Sus scrofa: one gene and its partners. The protein of the gene in region 1 interacts with the protein of each later gene in a pairwise test. Links are inferred from orthologs where the notes say so. Each region holds a gene or a part of one and is shown in the gene's direction. Other genes may lie near its edges.

Region 1 (4,606 bases):
TCCCATTCTGTAAGCTGTCTTTTTGGTTTTTTTTTGGTTTCCTTTGCTGTGCAGCTATCTACAGTTTTGAATCTCACTTAATGTTACCAAGTAATATAATATTTTAAATATAATCATCTTGCTCTTAATTATTTTTGGAGCAATATTTTATTTATATTTATTTGTTGGCCCCACCCCCAGCATGCAAATTTCCTGGGCCAGAGACCAAACCCTTGCCACAGCACTGACTCAAGCCACAGCAGTGACACTGACAGATCCCTAACCCACAAGGCCACCAGGGAACTCCTGAAGCACTATTTTTAAATGCTTCCCTGCTTAGTATTTTTTAACCTCATTTTCCCTATTCTTCTGTGCTCTGTAGCATTCACTGTTAATTTTTGTTACAAGTAAAGATAATCTGCTTGATACTTTTTGTTTTCTCAAACTTGAAATATAATAAGAGAGAGAGGAGAATGTCTGTTCTATTCCTGGCTTTAGATGAATTCATTTGCAAATAAATACCTGTATCACATGATTCCAAAATTCTGTGCTTCAAAACAGATTCAGGATACAAAATGTGAATTTCAAAACATGTAAATCAGACAGTTCTTCTCTTCAAAATGTCTTAACTTTTGGCATTTCCTGTATATTTTCCTTTATACAAACCGTTTTCTTAAAATATAGAAATATCACTTCCTTTATGAAAGTTAGATGCATGTGGAACCTAAAAATGTATTTATGACTTTAAAAAAGAGGAGTTCCCATCGTGGCACAGTGGTTAACCAATCCGAGAATCCAACTAGGAACCATGAGGTTGTGGGTTCAATCCCTGGCCTTGTTCGGTGGGTTAAGGATCTGGTGTTGCCGTGAACTGTGGTGTAGGTTGCAGACACGGCTCCGATCCCACGTTGTATGGCTGTGGCTGTGGCGTAGGCTGGCGGCTACAGCTCCGATATGACCCCTAGCCTGGGAACCTCCAGACGCCACGGGAGCGGCCCTAGAAAAGGCAAAAAAAAAAAAAAAAAAAAAAAAAAGAGAGAGAGAGAGATGCATTTCTGTATACATACACATATACAAATATATTTCAGCCTCAACTCATAGGTTAATTAATATCATATTATCATAATATATATAGTGAAATCTCATCAATTCAAATCCGCCATTAACTTTAAACTTTTTATAATTCAGATACAAAACATACAATTTATAGTGAAGAGAAATAAATATGGGGTATGGGTGTGTTTATATGCCTTCCACAAATCACAGATAACTTGGGAATTCCTAGGTGACACAGCAGGTTCAGGATCTTGCATTGTCACTGCTGTGACGTTGGTTCCATCCCTGGCCCTGGAACTTTTGCATGCCCCAGGTGCAGCTAAAAAGGAAAAAGAAAAATTGCCTTGATACATTTTATTTTTGAATACCTATTTGTTGTTTGACAAGTACAAAATGCCCATATCCAAAAGTGACAAAATGGCACATGAACACTGAAACTTCTCGTTCACCTTCTCCCCGCCCCCCCAAACCATCACCAGAAATCCTGAGTTTAATGTTGTAACCACGTGTTCGTGGGGGCCTGAGCGTGCAAAGAGATCCTCACAGTTAAGGGTTATTCCCATGAGGTCTCCCCTCCGCTTCACGCATCTTAATGGGCCTCTCCTGTCTTCTAAGGAGCTACTTAGTTATTCTTAAGCAGAACAGAGAAAAGTAAATATGCTGAAGGGAACGATGGAATTCATTCTAAAGCCAAGTAAAAACTCGCTTAGTGGGAGGAAGGAAGAGGCTATACCTTCTGTAAGGGTCTGCAACGTGGACTAACCCCACCCACTCACAGGCTCCCGCGGCTCCGCCTCCATTTCCAAATATCGCCGCCCTCCTCTTTCTGCCCTTTCTCCCTCGATAATCTCTTTGAATCTGTGATTTTTAAGCAAGCATCCATCGCCATCCTTCCTGGACCGCCTAATGCTAGGTCGCAGTTGTCCCGGCAACCGCGAGTCCGAAGCGAGAACCGGCTCTGCGGAGTTTCCACGGAAACCACTCCCGGCAGAGGCAGGTGCAGCGGGCGCAGTGGGGTGACGCCGGGAAGAGCCCTCGGGGCAGGGCGGGGCCGGGGGTGGGGGGGGCCGCGGGGCGAGGCCACCAGGCTCCCACGAGGCCTGGATGCGTTATATATCTACCATATTTTTAAAAGCACTACTTTCGGTGGGATATTTCACTTGCAAAACAGAACCACCAATTCCTTTCGGCTTGATAAAACCCAGTCGCCCTCGAGGCGCTGAACTGCACTTTGGAGATGGTCCAAATCGATGAGGATCTGCAAAGGAGACTCCCCAGACAGTAAGGTTCTGCTGCCAGTGTCCTCTGGAAAGGCTTGAGAGTTCGTGTGCGCGACAAAACCTGAGGGAAACCTAGTTTGATGAGCTTCCTGTGCTTTGCCGCTTTAAATAGTGTCAGGATATTCCACCAACGCCCGGAAAATCAAACATTAATAGGGTTGAGGTTTGCTGCGTTCTTCTAAGTTCCCCTTTACATTTGAGACACAACTTAGGGTAACTGGAAGAGCCCTTGGCTCTTATGATCCGTGGTCAAACGCCACTGGCCCCCCTCGCTTTTCGCCTCTTGTTTTGTTTCACAAGGACTATTGGGAGGCGTATCAGATTTATGTTCAGAGCGAATAGGAAAGAACAGAGGTTTCGGGAGAATTCTTAGGTCAAGGCTGGCATTTGAACCTTTTCCTGGTCGGTGCCTGCGCAGTCGTTTCAGCTGCGGCAACGCCGGGGATGAGGCCGGGTGACTGCGGCGGATCGCGCGCTTCACAGTCCCCAGTCTGTCATCTTTGTGTCTTTTTATGGGGGGAGGGGCTGTCTGACACAGTTATTAAACCTGGCAGCTGCGTTGGCGGCACCCAGGCGCATTTGGAGTGAGCTTGAAGAAAATGAGGGGCTTTCAGCCGGCCGGCGGCGCTCGGAACGCTTTCTCCGGCTTCTAAATACCACCGGCGTGGTGGGGAGTGCGCGCACTTCACGAGAACAATTGGAAACGTGAGTATCCGTGGCTTCACGCTTGTTGCAGGGGGCTTGGCTTCCGAAGGCTTCCAGTCGGGTGGCAGGGACGCAGAGGCAACGGGAGGAGAGGCCGGTGTGCGGGCAAAGAGCTGCGGGAGGGCCTCGCGACGCGCGTCGCCACTCCTTGTCTGTAGGTTGTGCGCGCTGGCGCGGCAAGGAGGCGACAGCCAGGTGGCTGTGAGAGAGGCTGGGGCGCCTGGTTTCTAGCGCACGCTTTGGGATTTGTTCCTCTGCTTTGAGAGGCGAAGACACAAAGAAAAGACCTCAGCACCAGGCAGCCGGTGTAGACAATCCTGTCCAGCCCTTAAACCTCGGGTCCTTTTTGAAAAAGGGGAGAAGCTGCGTGTTAAGCTTGACTCGAAACAATGAAGTTAGACCAGTGTTTTCCCGCCCTGGAGAATCTTTGTGCGCTGGCAGTGACCACGGCGATCAGTCCTGTAAGGACCCGGGCGTGTCGCGCCGCCGGGGGCATCGCCCGTGGCCGGATTCCTTTGGGATTTCAGTCTCTCTTGGGCCTCGGGCTCCAAGCCCTGAGCTCGCTTCTTCCCCTCCCCTCTTCTCACTGTGTTCTAACAAGGCAGTCATTTGATGAGGACCATACATAAAGCGAGGAGATCCTAATTCCCTCCTTTCTCCCTGAAGTATGAGTGAGAAGGAGTGTGGGTTTTTTCTTACTATTGATTGGTGGAGAAAATCTTGAAGTTCAACTTCTGTTTTATATTTATTTCCAGACAAGATTTCCAAACTTTAAGGAGGTGCCAGCGTATCTCTGTGATTTTATGTATTTCTTTAAGAACTCTGGCTTTCAGAGCTCCTGGTGTGGCTCAGAGCTAATGAGCCTGACTAGAATCCACAAGGATGCAGGTTCCATCCCTGGGCTCACTCAGTGGGTTAAGAATCTGGTGTTGTGGTGAGCTGTGGTGTAGGTTGCAAAGGTGGCTCTAATCCTGCGTTGCTGTGGAGTAGGCCAGCAGCTGCAGCTGGGATTGGACTCAGCCTGGGAACTTCCATAAGCTGCACAAGACAAAAAAAAAAAAGAAAGAAAAGAAAAAAGAAACAAACAAACAAACAAACTTGGCTTTCTCCTAGGGAGAAAAGGAGCATCTAAGGGTGTGGGTGGGCTCCGGAATAGCATGTTCAGTATGTCCTGTGCATTTCCTTGTCAATCTGGCTCAGGCCTTGTGTGTGATACCAAGTCATAGTGTTTGAAGCCTAAATCCTGGTGTCTCTGCAGCTGGATGTCTTGATATGGTATCTGGAATGTGGTGTCAAGGGCTGATGGCAGTGGAAGCCTTAACCTTCCCCAAGGTGCCAGCCAGAGCCAGGATCTACCCCATGCTGTGGGTGTGGGCAGTCAGCTGTGGGCAAGCGCTTAAATTTCCCAGGCCTCAGTCTCCTAATCTGTAAAATGGACATGACAAAGTAATATCTTACAGTGATGCCTTAAGATTTGTGCTGGTCTTCCAAACCCATCTCCCACCAAGCAGCTTCTCTTTGGTAACCTGATCGTTGAGGATTATCTTAAAACAAAACAAGAAAGGAAAAGCCTACAGAATAGAAAC
Region 2 (4,250 bases), on another chromosome or scaffold:
CTGCACCACAGCTCACGGCAATGCCAGATCCTTAACCCACTGAGCGAGACCAGGGATTGAATACAAGTGAATTCTAGTCACGTTCTTAAGCCGCTGAGCCACAATGGAAACTCCTTGTTTGCATTCTCGCCTTCTCTCTCTGTCTCTGTCTCTCTCTCTCTCACACATGCACACCTGCTAGTGCAGAAGCTCTGAGAGAGAAGGTAGCCTCACTTATCTGGTCTAAACAATAAAGTTTGTCTTTGGGCGGCCTTTGGTGGAGCCCATAGGGACTTCTCCAAGGATCATGCCCACTGCAGGTTTCACAGAGGAACCTAAGCTTCCTGGAGGGGGGGACTCAACCCTCCAGGTTTCAGACTGTCTCTAATCTGGTGAACTTATGGGTTTCTTTTCCCCATGGGAGAGGAGGTCTTACTCTTCCACCTGGTCCAGGTTCCCTCTCCCTTGAATTTTGTAGACAGAGCACATCAAGGCCGAAGACTTAGTGAAGACCCAGCTCAGGCTTCCCAAGGTGGGAGGCAGTCGTGGCGGGAGAGGAGGCAGTGTCTCCTTTAGAAAAGCTGGCCTCCCAGAGCCCTCTGATCCCTGCGCCCAAATCCCCGCCCCCCAGGACCTGAGAGCAGCCCACTCCCTCTCCTCCCTGCTCCCCGCCCCCAGGTTGGGGAGAGCTGACCTCAAGGCTGGGCAGGGCAGCCGGCTGGGTGGTCAGAGTAGGAAGGGGGAAGTGCCCTGCCCTCCCTTGGAACCTGGTCCCACGTCCCTTGATTAAGTCTCAAGGCCAGGTGCCTACACCTGGAGCGAAGAGAGGAGAAGAGGACTTCCACGCGTCCCTAACAGATCTGCACAGCCTGGCTTCTGTAAGGGTGTCCACAGGTTGGCTTTGGGAGCCGAGCACCTCCAGCCCCACCTCAGTTTCCCCGTGTCAGGTCCGCCCCACTGCAGCGGAGCCCAGAGTTCTACGGTTTCCTGCTCCTCCGACCAGCGCCTTGCCCACCTCCGGGACATCAGAATTAGGATCGTCTTCCTCCCGCGATCCCGCAGTACCGGGAGTCTGGGGGCGACCTGGGAGCGGCTGAAGGGAGGCGGGGACGGGACGGCTGGTGGGCGGGGCGAAGCGGGGCGGCTCCCAACTCACATCCCGCCCTCCCTGACTCACCCGGCCAGGCCCGGGAACTCTGCGGGAGTCCCGGCCGCTCCGCTCCGCTCCTGGGGACGCAGGAGTTGGAATCCGCGTCTGGCCCGTGCGGTGAGTAGGTGGCTCTCCGTCCCTGAGGACGGCGTGGCGGGGTGAGGATCTGGTCCACGGGAGGACCGTCCCAGGTGCGGCGGGCACTGTGATCTGAGCCCCACGCCCGTCTGGGGCACAGAAGGAGCTGGGGGTGGGGTGGGGGGCAGAGAAAGGCCCGGCCCTGGTCAGCCCAAGGGCGCCTGTCCAGGGAGCCCAGCAGGCCTGGCCAAGGACGGAGTGAAGATCAACAGGCTGAAATCAACCTGGGGGTCTTGACCACGTCCTCTGCTCTGGGTTCTCCGCTGCTCAGCGGCTTCTAAATCATCCTTGTGTGCCCCTCAATTCCCAGAAACCCTACCACTTGGTGGGGGGGGTTCACCAGACTGTCCCTTCTGGGACTGTTGAACGTCAAGACTCCCCAGACCCTCCAGTCCCGGCAGGGCCACTTGGAAAAGTATAGGTAGGGAGTCCCCAGGCCTGGGGCCCAGAACAGGATCTGCTACTACCGGGCCACCCTCCCCCACCCAGGCCACAGTTTCTCCTTTGTGTAAGTCAAATGTTGGACCTTGTGCCTTCTAAGGCCCACTTCAGGGCTGACAGCTGTCACCATTTCTTCTTTGCTTCTTAGCATGGGCTGTGGGTGGGGGCTGGACCAGAAGCACCCCCCATTGCCATGTGTTTAGAGGAAAGCTGGGGACTTGGGGAGGGCCTGAGAGTGAAGATGCAGGGGTGAGGCATGGGTGAGGCATGGGTGGGTGGAGCTAAGGCTGGATAGGGGCCCTATTCCAGGCCCTAGGCTGACAAGGACATCCTAGCCTGTGTGCCAAGCCAACATCCCCCCCCATCTCTTCTCCACCATAAGGAACCCCCTTCTGAGGTTCTTTTGGCAAAGATGCTTCATCTCAGCCAGACGTTCTCACTCAACATGGAAAGAGCACACACAATCAGACAGAACTGACGTAGGGGTCTGGCCTTGAATGCCTGTTGTAGCTGTGACACCTTGAGAGAGTTATTTCACTCCTCCGTCTGGAAAAGGAGGGTCCCAACATCCATGCTCCCAGAGTTGGGGTGAAAAAAAAAAAAGAAAGGCACTGAGTGGGGGTTCCCACTGTGGCTCAACGGTAACAAATCAGACTAGTATCCATGAGGAGAGGGATCCTCCATCCCCAGCCTTGCTCAGTGGGTTAAGGTCCTGGCATTGCCGTGAACTGTGCTGTAAGTCACAGATGTGGCTCAGATCTGGCATTGCTGTGGCTGTGGCATAGGCCAACAGCTGCAGCTCTGATTCAACCCCTAACCTAGGAACTTCCATATGCTGTGGGTGCATCCCTCATTAAAAAAAAAAAGAAAAAAAAGAAGAAGGCACTGAGGAGTTCCCACTGTGGCACAATAGGATGGGTGGCATCTTAGGAGCACTGAGATGCAGGTTTGATCCCTGGCTCAGCACAGCGGGTTAAGGATCCAGCATTGCCACAGTGGTGGCATAGGTCACAACTGCAGCTTGGATCTGATCCCTGGCCCAGGAACTCCATATGCCATAGGGTGAGCGGGAAAAAAAGGGCAATGAAATGGTCTGGTAGCCATAAGCTCTCTGCCCCAATCCCCCATGAAGCCTTTCCCCGAGCCCTGCCACCAGCCATGTTCAGACAAAGAGTGGGGCAGGCTTGTTTCTGGGAAAGCTTAATGGCAGGTTCAGGATGATCAAGATTGAGTCATGGAGACATAATAATAACCCCACGTCAGTCTCGGATGCTGTTGTGTATACACCTTGCTCTGCGGGAGCCTCTGGGCCATCGGCTGGGGACCCTGGGTGTCTCTGCCTTTGGTAGCAGACCTGGGATGGCCAGTGGCAGAGCTTCCACCAGTGTGAGATGGGTCCTAAAGGATGGCAGGGACTCCTGGGCAAGAAGTTGGTTCCTGCCCATCTGTGGAGCATTTCTGCTGCAGCCCCAGAGTTCCCATTCTCAGGTGAAGGAGTTGAGCAGTGTCCCTCACAGGGACAGGGGGCCAGAACTAGAAGAGCAGATGGCTGGCTCCCTGGTCCTGGGTCTCCCCTTGGCTTAATGTGTATTTGCACTTTGTGCACACTGGTACAGATGTGCACACTCCAGAATGCCCTGAGGATGTCCCTTTTGATGGCTCCAATTTGCCCCCCCGGGGGCTGTTGAGCTGCCCTAAATGTGTTTTTCTATCAGATTCCCCACTGACTGAATCTGTGATGCGCTGGAGCATCTTTACCGGGCTTGTAGTTTAGGACAGACCGTGATACTGATTGTGAGGGATGGGCCACTGGGTGAGGGATTGTGTGCTCTGTCTGTGCACCCCCTTGCGTGCGTCTATGCTGGGTGAGTCAGAACCTGAGTCAGGGGGCTCCCCTAGACCGGGTGTGGGCAGGTGTGTCCCTGTCCCTTGCGTGCCATCCCCCATAGGGAGGTAGAAGCCTCTTACAGGATTAAGGGGTGTGGCGGATTACCTGCCTCAGCCTAGTGGGCAGGCCTGCGTCCTATATCCCTGCCCCCTCTTCCACCTTTTCCTCACTCCGGAGTAACTCTAAGGCCTTTAAGATTTCGGGAACCAAAAAGGAAGTCGTGGAGGTGTCAGCAATTGGCTGAGGTGTGGGACAGAGACCAGTTTCCCCCTGGAGGTGGGTGGGAGGCTGGAGGACCAGCTGGTGGTCCAGATGCCTCCCTTCCTTGTCCAGCCTGCACCTAGTGACAGGCTACCAGGACAAGCATAGCAGGCTCCAGGAAATCTGGGTGAGAAAACAGGGGCTGTGTATTGGGGAGCATGGATGCTGGGCTGGGGGGGGTGATGAGCACCAGCCTAGGAGCTCCCCACAGAGGCTTAGGGGGCTTGCTGCCTCCCTTTCCTTCCCCCTGCAGCCTTGGGGAGAAAGGAGGAGGAGGCTCTCCAGCTGCCTGTCTGAGAGGGTGCTGTCCCAGCTCGTGGTCCACGCCCCCGTGTGACTTGGGCCTGGCTGTCTGTATCTGGAATAATGATACCTTGGTCTAAAATGAAACCC
Region 3 (4,475 bases), on another chromosome or scaffold:
AATTGTATAATGACACACATCCATCCGTATAGTATCACACAGAGTAATTTCACTGCCCTAAAAATCCTCTGTGTTTCACATATTCACCCCCTCCATCCCCCTAACCTTTGCCCATTTTTTACTTGGCTTATGTGTCTTTTTGTTGTAGACTTGTAACAGTTTTTATACAGCCTAGAGACTAGTCACTTATCAATTATATGATTTATAAATGTTTCTATTTTGTGGGCACATATAGGTTTTCATTTCCCCTGGGCAAATATCAGTGGGATTGCTGAGTAATATGTAAAGTGCACGTTTAACTTTACAAAAAACTGCCAACCCATTTTCCAGAGTGGCTGTACCATTTTGCATCACCACAAGCAGCATATAAGAGTTCCAGTTGTTCAACATCCTTGTCAACACTTGGTATGGTCAGTTTTTTTTTCTCAAAAATTATATTCGGGGGGGGCGGTCTTTAAATCCTGGTCATAGTCACATTTTTTTTTTTAGGGCCACACCTGTGGCACATGGAAGTTCTAGGCTATGGGTCAAATTGGAGCTGTGGCTGCCAGCCTGCATCACAACCACAGCAATGCCAGATCCAAACCACATCTGTGACCTACACCAACAGCTTGTGGCAACGCTGGATAATTAACTAAGTGAGGCTAGGGATCTAACCAGCATCCTCATGGATACTAGTTGGGTTCTGAACCCACTGAACAACAACGGATCTCCTCATAGTCACATTTTATAAGATGATGTCACATGCTTGAGCAGAGGATGGAAGCTGAGACAGGGACCAGAGGAGCCTGGTGGGAGGAATGCAATGGTCCAGGCCAGGGATAGTGGGGATGAGGGAAGAGGAAGATTCACAAGTGGTTCAGGGGGCCAGGGTATGGAGCTGGAAGTAGCTGAGCAGGAGAAAAAAGTGGAAGGAGGCCAGATCTAGAGTGGGAAGGGCATGGGAGTGCCAAGTTGGGAATTTCTGGCTCCCCAATTTTCTGCCCAAGAGCATTCTGGGTTTGAATAAGGTTGGTAGCTGCTACATTGTATTTGCCTCCTGGGGATGCCTGGTGCACATTAGCACATTAAAGGCTCTGACAAGTTCTGCAACAAAAAACTCTGTTGTTATTTAACCCAAACTTAGACATTGGATTGCTTTTCTCAAGCCATAACATTACTCTCATCATCATTTCCAATGCACAATTCATCTTTTTTATTCCCCATTATGTGCCTAGAATTGGGTTATATCCAATGGTCAAATATTTTGGGAGGGTGCATTAATGATCTTATTAGGTCTTCAGAACAACTCTGTGAAGTGGGTACTAATATAATTTCCACATTACAAACAAGGCTCAGAGAGGCCAGGTGATTTGCCTAAGGTCACACAGCTACTGTGTAGAGAAATGGAATTTGATCTGGAGTGTGCTCACAACCTTTCCACCACCCTGCCCATCTCCTGAAGGTGCCCCATACTGGGAGTTCCCCTGTGGCACAGCAGGTTAAAGATTTGGCATTGTCTCTGCAGTGGCTTGGGTCACTGCTGTGGCGCAGGTTTGATTCCTGGCCTGGGAACTTCCACATGTCGTGGATTTGGCAAAAAAAAAAAAAAAAAGAAAGAAAAAGAAAAAGAAAAAAATAATATTCCCCCATGCCCCTAGTCTCTCCTGGTAGTGGCAGCTGTGGTTTTCCCACTGAGGTGACCTCCCTGTGAGGAACCCTGTGACCTCCCACAGCCCTTCTCCTTCCCCTGATGGCCAAGGACACACTCAGGCCGTTGCCCAGAGAGCTTGGCTGTAACTTGAGTCTCACCCAGGCTGGGGGTGATGCGGCGGGTGGGCAGGTGACAGCCAGGGCAGGGAGATTTGCCCAGACACCAATGTGCGGCAGCCTGGCAACCGGCGTGGCCCTGAGGAGACTGGGGTCTTTTAGGAGTCTGTTCCAGAGTCCTGACAGTGGCCTTCACCATGGGCAACAAGCAGACAGTGTTCACACATGAGCAGCTAGAAGCGTATCAGGTAGGGGTGATGGACTGGACCCTTGGTGGCTTTGGCAGCCTTTGTTTCCTGGCCTGCGAGATGGGGACGGCCTCGCTTTCTTCCTGGGTGTGCACTCAGTAAGCATTCCTGGGGCAGTTCTGGGTGTGGCATCAGGCAGCGATGGGTATGCGATTGTGGGAGAAGAAAGAGGCCCTCCAGGCAGGCTCTGTGCCAAGCCAACATTTCTCTCCGCAGGACTGCACCTTCTTCACGAGGAAGGAAATCATGAGGTCAGTCTAGAGAGGAAAGGAAGGAAGAGCTGGACACTTTCTATATATTGCTGGATTTGCAGTTTGTCCTGGATTTGCCGTCTGACCTCACTCAATGCTTCATGGGGGTTAAATGGGGGGGATCGCGTGCATGGTCAGTGAATGGATGCAGAGAGGGGAAGGTTGAGAAGTCACATCTGGTCCTATTGTCACACTTCTAGGCTGACGACTTGGGCTTTCTTCTAAGGGTGGTGGGGAGCCATAGAGAGTGTGCGAGCAGGGGAGAGGCAGATCGGCATGTTAGGAAAGATCCCCCTGAAGCTGGTGTGAAGAGGCTGGGAACTGGGGGCAGACTCTAGAGCCAGCTTTGGGCTGTGGGTTTGGCATCAAGATTAGAGAGAGAGGAGGTGGCCCTGGGCTGCAGCAGGTCCCTGGTGTGAGCAAGGTGGGCATAGATGGACAGTCTATATCATCACTCAGCTCACAGAGCCATTGTCCAGAGGCCCCGACCCATGAACTTGGAGCTGTGAAACCCAAGCTGGCTGGGGTTTGACTGCAGAGTGATCGGGGCCAAGGCCCCAATTGTGTGGGCATTGGACATCCATTATTGATTGGCATACCTTTCGCCAGTTAGCCCCATTGTCTGGGGAAGAACAGCTCACAGGGTCGTCATGGCCATTACGATTGGATTACTGATGGGGAGACTGAGGCTCAGACACAAGAGACTTACCTTGGGCCGCTGGATAGATGGGTAGAGCCCAAGGAATTTGAGGGCTAACATTTTGTCTGTCTCAAGCTTCTTGCTTGTCAGACAGATCTACTCAGGAGAAGAAGGGAAGAGAGACTTGCTCAAAACTATGCAGAAACCCAAACCCAAACCCAGACTATTCTCTGAGATGATTCAGAACTGAAGCTTGAAATACCCCTTCCCTAGCCATCATATGACCCAGAGGCTCTGGTCCCCCTCAGGGACAGTCCTTAGATAGTCCTGTCCCCTTAGCAACTTGGGGATATCTGACTCATCAAGAATGGTCTCTGTAAGCCTGCTGCTCAGCATGCCCCAATGATGGTATGGTGTCATCAGGTGAGGGCATTGGAGTAGAGAGCTGGCCTCACAATCTAGGTAGTGTGTTTGGTGGCATTTGGTGTTTTACAAAATGCTTATCATTTACCCTTTTGGAAAATCTGAATAGTAGACTTTTTTCTGCTCTTCTGCATTATGGAAAGAGAGAAAGTATGAGGTTGGAGGTCTTTAGAGGCAAGGTCTTGCCAAAAACATGATGATGTCCAGAGATTCATAGATTGGCTCAGAATCTCTGAATGCTGATGTGCCCCAAGCACCCTCCTTCTGTCAACCTCATCTGCCTGGTAAGCTTCTACTCATGCTTCAAAGCCCAGCACCAATGCCCCCTCCTACAGGAAGTCCTTCCTCCTTCTTGGCTTGTTTTCCCCCCTCTGGTTTCCCCTAGCCCTGAAGCCTTCTCTTTACCTTGGCCTTGTCCCAGGAGGATAGACATGCCTATGTCTGGCCTTGTGTGTGTGAGGTTGGGCTCATGGCTGATAGTGCTTGGGGACTCAGCATTCTTCAGTATAGAGTGAACAGCTATAAGAGTGAAAGAGTAGGGACAAGCCACCCCTACTCATCTCCTAGATCTTCTCATTATTTTTCTCCCCACATCAGGCTCTTCTATCGCTACCAGGACCTGGCCCCCCAGCTTGTTCCTCTTGACTATACCAGCTGCCCTGATGTGAAGGTGCCCTATGAGCTCATTGGCAGCATGCCTGAGCTGAAGGTACGCCTGAACCATGGGACAGGTGGGGGAAAAAATTGTAGGAATATCCCTTGCTATATCCCTATGAGGTGAGTACTGTGATTATTTCCATTTTACAGATGAAGAAATTGAATTTCAGAGATGTCAAGACACTTGTTCATAGTAACACAACTAGGATGTGATAGAGACAGGAATCAAACTCTGGGTTGTAGGGAATATGAGACAAGACAATGCAGGAAAAGAGCTCGGCACAAGACCTGCTTCATGGCAAGTACTCAGGGAATGTTCTTTTTATAGTAGGAGCTAGTAAATGCAGGTTCTTCTCAGTTGGATGTTTGACACATAGTTTGTGACTATGAAGGGGACTTGTGGGGTGAGTGACTGTGAGTAGAGATTATTTTATCACAATGGACAGAAACCTGACTCAAGAAGGACAGAATGGGTTGGATCATGTGAACAAAAAATGCAGGGAGAAG

Evidence for each region.
Region 2: the proteins of TRIM2 (region 1) and LRRC8E interact in binary tests that used the Homo sapiens proteins (3 or more experiments, as listed by UniProt). The two-hybrid records come from large-scale screens. The link is inferred for Sus scrofa from reciprocal best matches to the Homo sapiens genes TRIM2 and LRRC8E.
Region 3: the proteins of TRIM2 (region 1) and CIB3 interact in binary tests that used the Homo sapiens proteins (3 or more experiments, as listed by UniProt). The two-hybrid records come from large-scale screens. The link is inferred for Sus scrofa from reciprocal best matches to the Homo sapiens genes TRIM2 and CIB3.

The regions. Positions count from the first base shown.
Region 1 is NC_010450.4:75,936,999-75,941,604, reverse strand, and holds the start of TRIM2 (tripartite motif-containing protein 2), read left to right. Parts: upstream 1-1,792; 5' UTR 1,793-1,941; coding exon 1,942-2,028; intron 2,029-2,108; exon of another isoform or gene 2,109-3,020; intron 3,021-4,606. UniProt on the Homo sapiens protein: UBE2D1-dependent E3 ubiquitin-protein ligase that mediates the ubiquitination of NEFL and of phosphorylated BCL2L11. Plays a neuroprotective function. May play a role in neuronal rapid ischemic tolerance.
Region 2 is NC_010444.4:71,315,118-71,319,367, reverse strand, and holds the start of LRRC8E (volume-regulated anion channel subunit LRRC8E), read left to right. Parts: upstream 1-1,142; 5' UTR 1,143-1,246; intron 1,247-2,712; exon of another isoform or gene 2,713-4,250. UniProt on the Homo sapiens protein: Non-essential component of the volume-regulated anion channel (VRAC, also named VSOAC channel), an anion channel required to maintain a constant cell volume in response to extracellular or intracellular osmotic changes.
Region 3 is NC_010444.4:61,406,069-61,410,543, forward strand, and holds the start of CIB3 (calcium and integrin-binding family member 3), read left to right. Parts: upstream 1-1,631; 5' UTR 1,632-1,946; coding exon 1,947-1,997; intron 1,998-2,213; coding exon 2,214-2,248; intron 2,249-3,908; coding exon 3,909-4,020; intron 4,021-4,475. UniProt on the Homo sapiens protein: Acts a an auxiliary subunit of the sensory mechanoelectrical transduction (MET) channel in hair cells. Plays a role in regulating hair cell MET channel localization and function.